2 linked regions of the Cricetulus griseus genome follow. The protein of the gene in region 2 purifies or fractionates together with the protein of the main gene of each other region. This does not show direct contact. Links are inferred from orthologs where the notes say so. Each region holds a gene or a part of one and is shown on either strand. Other genes may lie near its edges. The genes, in order: Capzb and Cpvl.

Evidence for each region.
Region 1: the proteins of Cpvl (region 2) and Capzb purify together in Homo sapiens (affinity purification with mass spectrometry; 3 studies listed by BioGRID and IntAct, with this or other methods). This does not show direct contact. The link is inferred for Cricetulus griseus from reciprocal best matches to the Homo sapiens genes CPVL and CAPZB.

Annotation. Positions count from the first base shown.
Region 1 is NC_048595.1:14,117,207-14,121,759, forward strand, and holds the start of Capzb (F-actin-capping protein subunit beta), read right to left. Parts: upstream 2,866-4,553; 5' UTR 2,851-2,865; coding exon 2,746-2,850; intron 1,714-2,745; exon of another isoform or gene 1,699-1,713; coding exon of another isoform or gene 1,609-1,698; intron 1-1,608. UniProt on the Homo sapiens protein: F-actin-capping proteins bind in a Ca(2+)-independent manner to the fast growing ends of actin filaments (barbed end) thereby blocking the exchange of subunits at these ends.
Region 2 is NC_048601.1:87,358,445-87,362,753, reverse strand, and holds the start of Cpvl (probable serine carboxypeptidase CPVL), read right to left. Parts: upstream 3,065-4,309; coding exon 2,890-3,064; intron 1-2,889. UniProt on the Homo sapiens protein: May be involved in the digestion of phagocytosed particles in the lysosome, participation in an inflammatory protease cascade, and trimming of peptides for antigen presentation.

The sequences.
Region 1 (4,553 bases), on a different chromosome or scaffold from region 2:
ACTACAGCACTACAATCAAGCAACAGCGTCTTAACACTCAGAATAATAACCCTAAATTAGAAGCCAGAGCTCTGATAGGCAAAGTGCTTTGAAATTGCAAAGCACTTAGGGACGGTGGTAAGACTGCCTGCAAAGGGAATGCATTTGCCTAAGCATTCTTAACAGGGACAGTGAACCAGACTCAAGAAAAAAAAAAAACTCAGGCTTCTCTTTCCCTCAGCAGATAAGTTGGAGCTAGAGTTGTTTGTTCTGCCACCAAGCCCACTGAAAACAAAACCATGGTGTTCATTACCTATAATATAGCTCCACTCTGCCAACTGATCCAACTGCCCACACCAGGGCATCAGATCATTCAAGCATGGTACGGATTTGACAACAGGCAGTCAGAAATTACTTAGAGGCCTGGGGGACACGAAAAACAAGCTGCTGAGTGAATGAGCACCAAACCTCAAGTGGCTAAAGCTCATAGACACCCTAAGCAATCTCTTGTTTCTTTTTTGAAACTCAGGGTCTCACTCTCACTGTGTTACCCAAGCTGGCCCTGGACGCCTTAACAGCTGATTACAGGTGTCAGCCTTCCATGCTGTATCTTTCAGTCTTAGGTTCTGCTCTAGAACCCAGACAGACAGAGGCCAAAAACACCAGACCAAAATCTCAGTCCCCAAAGAGCTCAGGATCAGGTCCAGGCAGACCATACTACTGTATCAAGATGACATTTCCGGTTACCAGGAATATCCACACCCAGTCTGCAGGAATAAGTACTCTGCCCGCCCTTGCCATGTTTGAGCATCCGGTCATTACGTTTCTTAAACAATGTCATTATATCAGACATACAACAGCCTACCAGGAAGATCACTGTCTGGAGCCCGCCAAGCCACTGCTTCCACTGGCCAAGAGTGGTCCATCCACAAACTGAGCAATGCTCTGAATGAGATGCAATGAATGCCCCAGCCTCTCTTCACCTGTCAGAAGATGGTGACAGGGGAAGCATAGAGGACTCTGGCCACTCCACTCCACTCCACCACTATCTCTGGCTTTGGCTCCCGGAGCACACATAGAAAACTTCAGTTGACTTTTAAAAGTCTCACCCAAAACTGTCCTAGACAAGTCCTTCCCCATGCGGACTAAGGCCACAGTCCAGACCCCCAGGCCAGTTTTCAAAGAACAATAGTATGACAGACAGTCTTGCCTACATTTTAAATCAATATATAGAAAGTTTATTAGCCAACCAGAATTAGGCACCCTAATTCAGTTGCTACACCCTTGATTAAACAAGGAACAGGGTTCCTCAAAACATCTAGAGCTCAAAGTCCACTCCCAAACATCTATCATCAGCAGGAGGGGAGCCGACCACAAGGCTGTGAGGCATGCAGCAGGTGGATGGCCTTAACTGTCCACTTTTCAAGCTTCCTTGACCATTTGAGGCCCTTCCATCTAGGTGCTGGACCTGCTCTGCAGAAGGTGTCCAAGTGGATGGGGGGCAGGGTTATGGGGGGACACCCCTAAGGCTCCTCAAATAAGCTGCTCACACAGTGTGCCTGCCTTCATTACCAAAACACACACCAGGGTTCAACCAGAGGGAAGTCTCAGCCTGCGAGTTTTGCTCACCTGTTCCGAGACACCTCCATAATCAGAAGTTCCAACCCTTACAAGCTGACAGTTCAGGGGGAAAGGGAGGCTTCGCCTGCTAGGGTGCATCGTATCCAGGCCATATGTTGGTCTCTGAGCTTGGTGTCCCCCCAGCCCCCATGCCGCGACCTCACAAGAGCGATTATGCGTTCATCCCTGTCCACTCGGCTTCGTCACCGTCAGCACTCTGCTCCCCTCTCAGGCAGGGCGGCCACGGGAAATGCCCTGGTCTGCCTTCCGGGCACACAGATGCCGCCCTTATGCCTCTTGCTCGCTCGCTCATTCCGAAGCGAAGCAGCCTCCCCAAAGGGGCAAGTCTCAAGTATAGGAAAGCACAGTACCCGGACCACCCCCACCCCGGCTGGGGCTCTCCCCCGCTTGCCAGGGACTGCCAAGAAGGAGCGTCCTAGGAACAGGGGAGGAGACACCTAGGTCGGGAGCAGGACACCAAGCAAGCAGAGTCTAGATGGGAGGGTGAGGATGAGAACGGCGGGCTGACGCAGACTAAGCCAAGTCGTGAGAAGTCTGGGGGAAGGGGATCGCTAGGGCCAGGGCCAAGGAGGTGCAGGTGGAGGGCACAGCAGGAGTAGAGTCCAGACTTGAGGACCACGGACAGAAGATTCCATGGGGGTGAAGGAAACAAACGTAGGCTAAGGCCACTAGAAAGGGGTCGTCGGGGTCCAGGCTGGGGCCATGGAGAGAAGAGTTTGAGTGGAGGGGGCCTAGCATAGGTCGCAGCAGCGAGAAGCACCATCCTAGCCTGGGCCCTGGGGCCGAGGTAGGGAAGCCTAGCTCAGGCCGTGGGATGCGGGCCTGAGAGAGGGGTGCCTGGCCCGGCCTCTAGGGGAAGGAAGGTCTAGCCTGGGATCCTCGAGACTAGCCTGGACATGCCGGGGAAAGAACCCGGCTCCACATGGAGCCCAGGGCGGGGTCACGCACCACCCGAGCCTCCCGCCGACCCCTCCGGACCTGAGGGGTGGCGTCTGCCCAGGGTCCCGGACCCCACCCCTCCCCCACCCCGGGTCCCACCCTCCCCGAGCCGGCGGGTCCGCGGGGTAGGAGACGGGAGCTCCCGAGGGGGGTCCCGGGATGGGGCCGTGGAGGGGGTCCCTTTACCATGGTGGCGGCGGCGGCGACGGTCCCTGTCCCGGCGTCTGTAGCTCTCCCCCCCGCAGCAGGGCCCGGCGCTTCCACTTCCCCCGGGTGCCCAAGAGTGAACATCCGGGTCCGCGCCCCCCTCCCCCCCACCCGCGCCGGCCGCCGCCACCTTCCTTCCCCGCCAGCCACCCCCCCCACGCCGCCAGCTCGCGGCCAATGAGCGAGCGGGGCCGCGGCGATCGCCAAGTATGGAGCTCTGCGCGGGGGGCGGGGACGGGGGTGGGTCCTGTGGTCGAGTGGGCGTGTTCTCATGGGGGAGGGCGGGCCCTACGCGGGCCAGGCGCGTTGGTTCCGTAAGCCCGGGGCTCGCGCGTACCGGAGGGACCTAGGCGGCCGTGGCACCCTCCTGCTGCCCACTTCGCCATCTAGCATCTGGAGGACACGGGGTACCTGAGGGTGGAGCGGTTCACTGGCCCCCCTGGGCGGAGGATGCGGAAGGCCCTGAACTAGGAGGGGACCGGCCCTCCGCGCCCCACCCGGACCCGGAACTGGTGCGCCAGAATGGGGCCCAGCCCCTAGAGCGCTAGCGGAGCCTGCACTGGGACGCCGGCGCTGCCGCCCCTGTGGCTGAACACCCGCTATCACGACCGGGGAGGCAGCCTTTAGGTACCAGAAGATGACAGGAGAATAAGCCTGAAGGATCCCTGCCCGCACTTCCTGGCTACCAGACAGGGTGGTCGTGAGGAAGACGCGGGTACAAAGATAGAACATTTGGGTTCAATAAATGCTGGCTGTTAGATATACTTTTCTACATTACCTGCAGAGAATCAGCCTTTTTGCCAAATGAGTCTTTTCCTCGCTCCATCCAGTGACTCAGGAATCCCTCTTTGTTTTCACAACTGAAGATTGAACTAGAGCCTCATACTTGCTACGCTGATGTTCTTACACTGAACTGAAGTCGCAGCCCTAGAAATGCACTTTTCAAAATGCTTTGTTGAGTTAATCTAGACTGCAAATCTTGCTCATAATACCTACCTACCAGACTTGCTCACCTTCTATTTAAAATCAAATCAGGTCGTAGGTGGGAGTGGGGATCAGTAAATTTCATCCCTGAAAGATTATGCCCGAGGCCTCTGAGCTCATAAACAAGTGAGAGCCTTCAGGAACAGCCAGTGAATGGTTAAGTCCCTCAAGAGTGGCAGTAGACCAGTATTACAGGAGGTCAGAGAAGGGAGTGGCACTTAGAAAGTCATCACTCCATAAGTATTTATTGTGTAACAATTGGCCAAGCATTATGCAGACTATGGAGATTGCAGCTATGGGCAAAATATCTCATGCTAGCCTAGAGTTTGTAGGTGAAATTTCGCTTCAGGAGATGGAGCCTCCTGCAAGCTGGATATGTACACCTGCCCTGAGTTAAGGCGCTGCTGAGCTTGAATGCTGTCAGGAGGTGAGTTAAGAAAAAGCATCAGAGTGGATGGAGGAGGTAAGCAGAGGTAGCTAAGCACTGTGTGGTGGCATTTGGGAGGATGGTCCAAGGCAGCAAAAGATGGGAGTGGAGTGTACACACAGCCCCAAGGGCAGAGACACCCCCCCCATGTATTCGTAGACAGCAAAGAGGCCAGTGGCCATTCTGAATTGTGTTAGCAGAAAGCTTCAAGAACAGCTGCAAACTATGACCTCCCTCCAAAAAAAAAGACTGTGAGCCTCTTGTGTGCTGGTTTATAGGGTGAATAGGGCCTCAGGAAGCTTTGTATATCCCAGGCATTTATTTAAAAACCAGTGTGTAGGGAGAAGGCTCATTTGGTACAGTGTGCTGGGAATCC
Region 2 (4,309 bases):
TGCAATTACAATTACATAAAATTAAGCTAGCTAATTGGGTATTAAAAAAATAAAAATTCCCCTTGTCTTTCTCTGAACCACTGTTTATCTCAAAACTGTTCTGTTGCCATGTTAAGACTCCCATTCCTGCAGCTTTGACAGATTCCACTAACAATGGGGATTTAAAGAGGGAGCTGCCCATCTGTCCACAGCTCCCTGAACTTTCAGTAAGGCGGATGAATAAAATTATCCTTAATTATGTTGTTGGGCAGCATCTGAGTCCCCAGATGTACCAGCTTTGGGATCCACCATTCAAATTCCATTCAGCGATTCTGAGTACGACACACAACTTTAATGATGGAAGTTATGTATCAATCGGTGTCTCAAATGCTGCCATTCATAGGGAGAGGATCTGCTGGGCTTGCTACCAAATGTCTAAAGATGAAGCTTTCTCCCTTACTGTGTATGCCCATGACCCTGGGATGCCCCTAAGCCTCAAAGGGGATGACCCATTGTTCAGGTGGATTCTGCAGTGTTCTTCTCACTCAGTTCTGCTACACAGGACAAAGACATGTGATGGTTTCTCCACTTAATGCATTTGCTTAGCTGTCTCCTAGTTCAGTGTGTATAAAGACCCTTTTTGGGCCACCATATCTTATCTACATTATTGAGTCAGGAGATTGTCACATGGCACAGTGGTTCATAGTATGGTTGGTAGACAAAAGTTATGATCCCAGATCTGCCACTTACTAGTTTTGTAGCTCTGGAAAAGATACTTATCTTCCTAGAGCCCCAGTTTTCTCATCTGTGCAATAGGAACAATAATTATATGTTCTTTATTAGAGTTGCTCTGAGACCTACATGAGCTAAGATATGGCAAACATGGTTCCTGGCACGTGGTTGAAACTCAAATGTAAATCACATAAGTATTTACTAAGTGCCTACCACATAAAAGTATTGTGCTAGTAATAGGAACTAACAACTGAGTATTACTAATCACTTATTATTTATTTTAAGTCATTTATTATTTTTATTCATAATGTAGACTTTATAATTTATTGGTAATTATTGTCACTACTACTATTATTTCCTACCTAGATTATAGCAATAGCATTCCTTCTCGAACTTTTAGCATACCTAGCTTGGATGTAACACTTTAGCTTCATTCCTTACTTGGTTCCCATGTATTAGTACATCTATATCAGAAAACCACGAGCTTCTTAAACAAGAAAAAATATACCACAGTAGGCAAAGCACAGAGGGGAAACCAGAAGATCTGAGCCCCATGGGCTCCTCTGCTCCCAGTCTCTCTTCCCAGCTTCTCCTTTGGGCAAATCCAGATGCGCGAGTCTCCTTCCTTGCATGGGGCTGGGTAGGACTTGGTTATAATGACCTTAACCCCTTTACAACTCCACATCAAATGGTTTTCTCTGACTTCTTGTTAATGAGATAAATCTGCACATTAATTCTGCAGTTACCAAGGAAGCTGGGCTGAATTCCGTCCGGCACTGTGGGGTTGGGTGGTTGTTGTGTTCCTACTCAGATACATCTTTAAGAATCAGCCCATGTGGCCAGGCAGCCATCTTTCCATGTATTTGGTGCAGAAAGTGAAACTGAATCCCTTTTTACATATTCTGATTACACAAGAAAGGTGTTTTCACCTTCCTGTAGCAAAGAACTGGCAAAGTCCAGAGCCTATGCAGATTTCATGGAGAAACCATGAGGGTAGGATTCAACCCTCTTTATAGCAAAGAAAACAAAAGTGATAGTAACCTGTTGATTGTGAGGACACTTCCTTTGAGGAAACCGCTTTATTTTAAACTTCCTTGTACAGTGTTTAGACTTACTTTTGGTCTTTGAAACCAGTATTTCCCTGAAACTTCTGGTCTCCTCCACCCTCAGTCCCATCTGACCCTCCAGCAAGTCCCTCCTCTGTGTCTCTCACACTCAGTGCCCGCCAGCAGCTCCTCAGATCACACCTCACCCATCCCTTGCTTCAGCAAACACTCATTGTCTGTCTCCTCTTTGCTACCCTTCCTTGACTCCCTCTGGCCACCAGCCCAGTCCTCTGCTCCTTTGTACAAACAATTCCTCAAAGTCAGAGTCTGTGCACTACTTGTAGCTCAGGGGACAACCAGGTTCCCACAGAGGATGTTCTTTGTGGCCTCGGTGACTTACCTAGGCACCAAGATTCGGTGAGAGAGAGCAGATGCAATCATACACTTTAGTCTAACAACACCAATTGTGACTTCTTTCTATTAACTGGTAGATAGTAACCGCCTGGTAGTCTGTTAATGACTAAGATTTGGGAAGAAATGTACAGGATATGGGGAGTTTTCTAAGTTTTTGTTTTGTTTTGTATTTCTCTCTCACTAGATTTTCCTGGTATTCTTGCAAGTTATATAAGATGCTAATTTTGTTAACTCTTTCTGACAAGGAAACTGAAGCCTACTCTGTGAATAACTTGCCAGGTGAGAGGCATAGCAGAGTGGGTGGAGGGAAGCCCTCTGAGTGTGGAGGCCACACCCACCAGCTGGCATCTGTGTGAATTCTGGCAGGTCCTTGGCCCTCCTACTTCAGTCTTCCTATGTGGACACACCCTGCTTTGTAGCCGAGTGCTAATGTCAACATCCACAGACAAAAGTTGCAAGGTTTGTAGTGGCTTTGTCAATGCTGCCCACTTCAAGACATTCACAGGTTTTATAAAGAGAAAGTCTGCAACTTAAATATATCAATATTCCATCTCCAACCACCTCATTTTAGCTCAAAACTCAGATAATACATGACATCAAGTCTTTAGTATTTGAAATAAAACAACGGAATAAAAATACTGACAAGTGTTTCACATCTTGGGGCATGGTTGCTTTTAAAACACCATTGAAAACGCAGGAGCAGTTTTCTGACACTTACCTTCCTTGATCTTCCCAGCATTGATAAAAGGGGTAAGAAACAGAGGCTGTCCTGCATTTCCCTTGAATGGCCTGGAAACATGGGTGCTTCGGTATATGGAGCGAAACAATCCATCACCAGGAACGACCATAAACAGGATCAATGAAACAATCACCTTCCACATGATACCAACCATTTCTTGGCCTGGGATAAGAAAAGTAACATTCCACACATGAGTCAAAAGTCAGTATTTGCCTATCCCCTTTACATGCAAGAAATCTACTTGTTTACTAAAAGAAAACCAAAAGAGCAAAGCAAACAAAGCAAGAAAACCTTTGCTATTGTGTATAAAGGCAGTTTACTGAGCACTTTGGACATCACCAGGAAATAAATCAGACCCACCCAATCCCTCTTGATCATGACCTCGGGTACATACAGAAAGATTCTGCAAGAGATTTACAATGTACCTGGAAGCAACTGTTAAAAATCTACGGCCTGGAAAGTAGATCCAGTAAAGAATTAGGCAAAACTGGGGAGCAACCAGGGCTCTAGAAATGGCCCCTGAGTAAGTGAGGGGCAGGGACCATTCCATCATTGCAGAATGGCGGGTATGAGAGGGGGTGGAACTCAGTATGGGAGCAACAGGAAAAGCACATGCATGCACAACACACACACACACACACACACACACACACACACACACACACACACACACACACACACACACACACACACACACACACACACACACACACACACACACACACACTCTCACACACACACACACACACACACCTGGCACCGAACATACAGGAGACCAAGGGTTTCCAGTGCACTTCACAGGGGAATTTAAAATAAGCTATAGGTTTTTTAGGATCCCTCTATCACTTATAAATCACAAGTTTTATATCCAACAACAAAACAGAAAAAAAGAGATGGAGGATTCTATTTCCATGTCCCTCTGCTCATTTGATAAGTAAACTTAAGAAATTAGACACATGTATACCTTTAATCCTAGTCATAGAAGGAAGTTACCGCCCTGCCCCATCCTGTAGTCCCAAATAAGCACACAGAGGCTTATATTGATTATAAACTGGCCTATTGCTCAGGCTTATTACTAACAAAATCTTACAACTTAACAATAATTCTTATCTGTGTTTAGCCACGTGGCTTGGAACCTTTTCTCAGTAAGGCATTCTCATCTTGCTTCCTCTGCATTTGGCTGGCAACTCACTCTCTGCCTTCCTTTTCCCAGAATTCTCCTAGTCTGGTAGCCCCACCGATACTCCTGCCTGACTACAGCCTCTTGGAACTCCAGATCCATGGATCTGACACCCTCTTCTGGCTTCTATTGACAATTGCACACAAGTGCACATACCCACACACAGACACACACACACAGAGTTGAAAACAGAAATAAATATTTTTTTAAGAGAGAGAA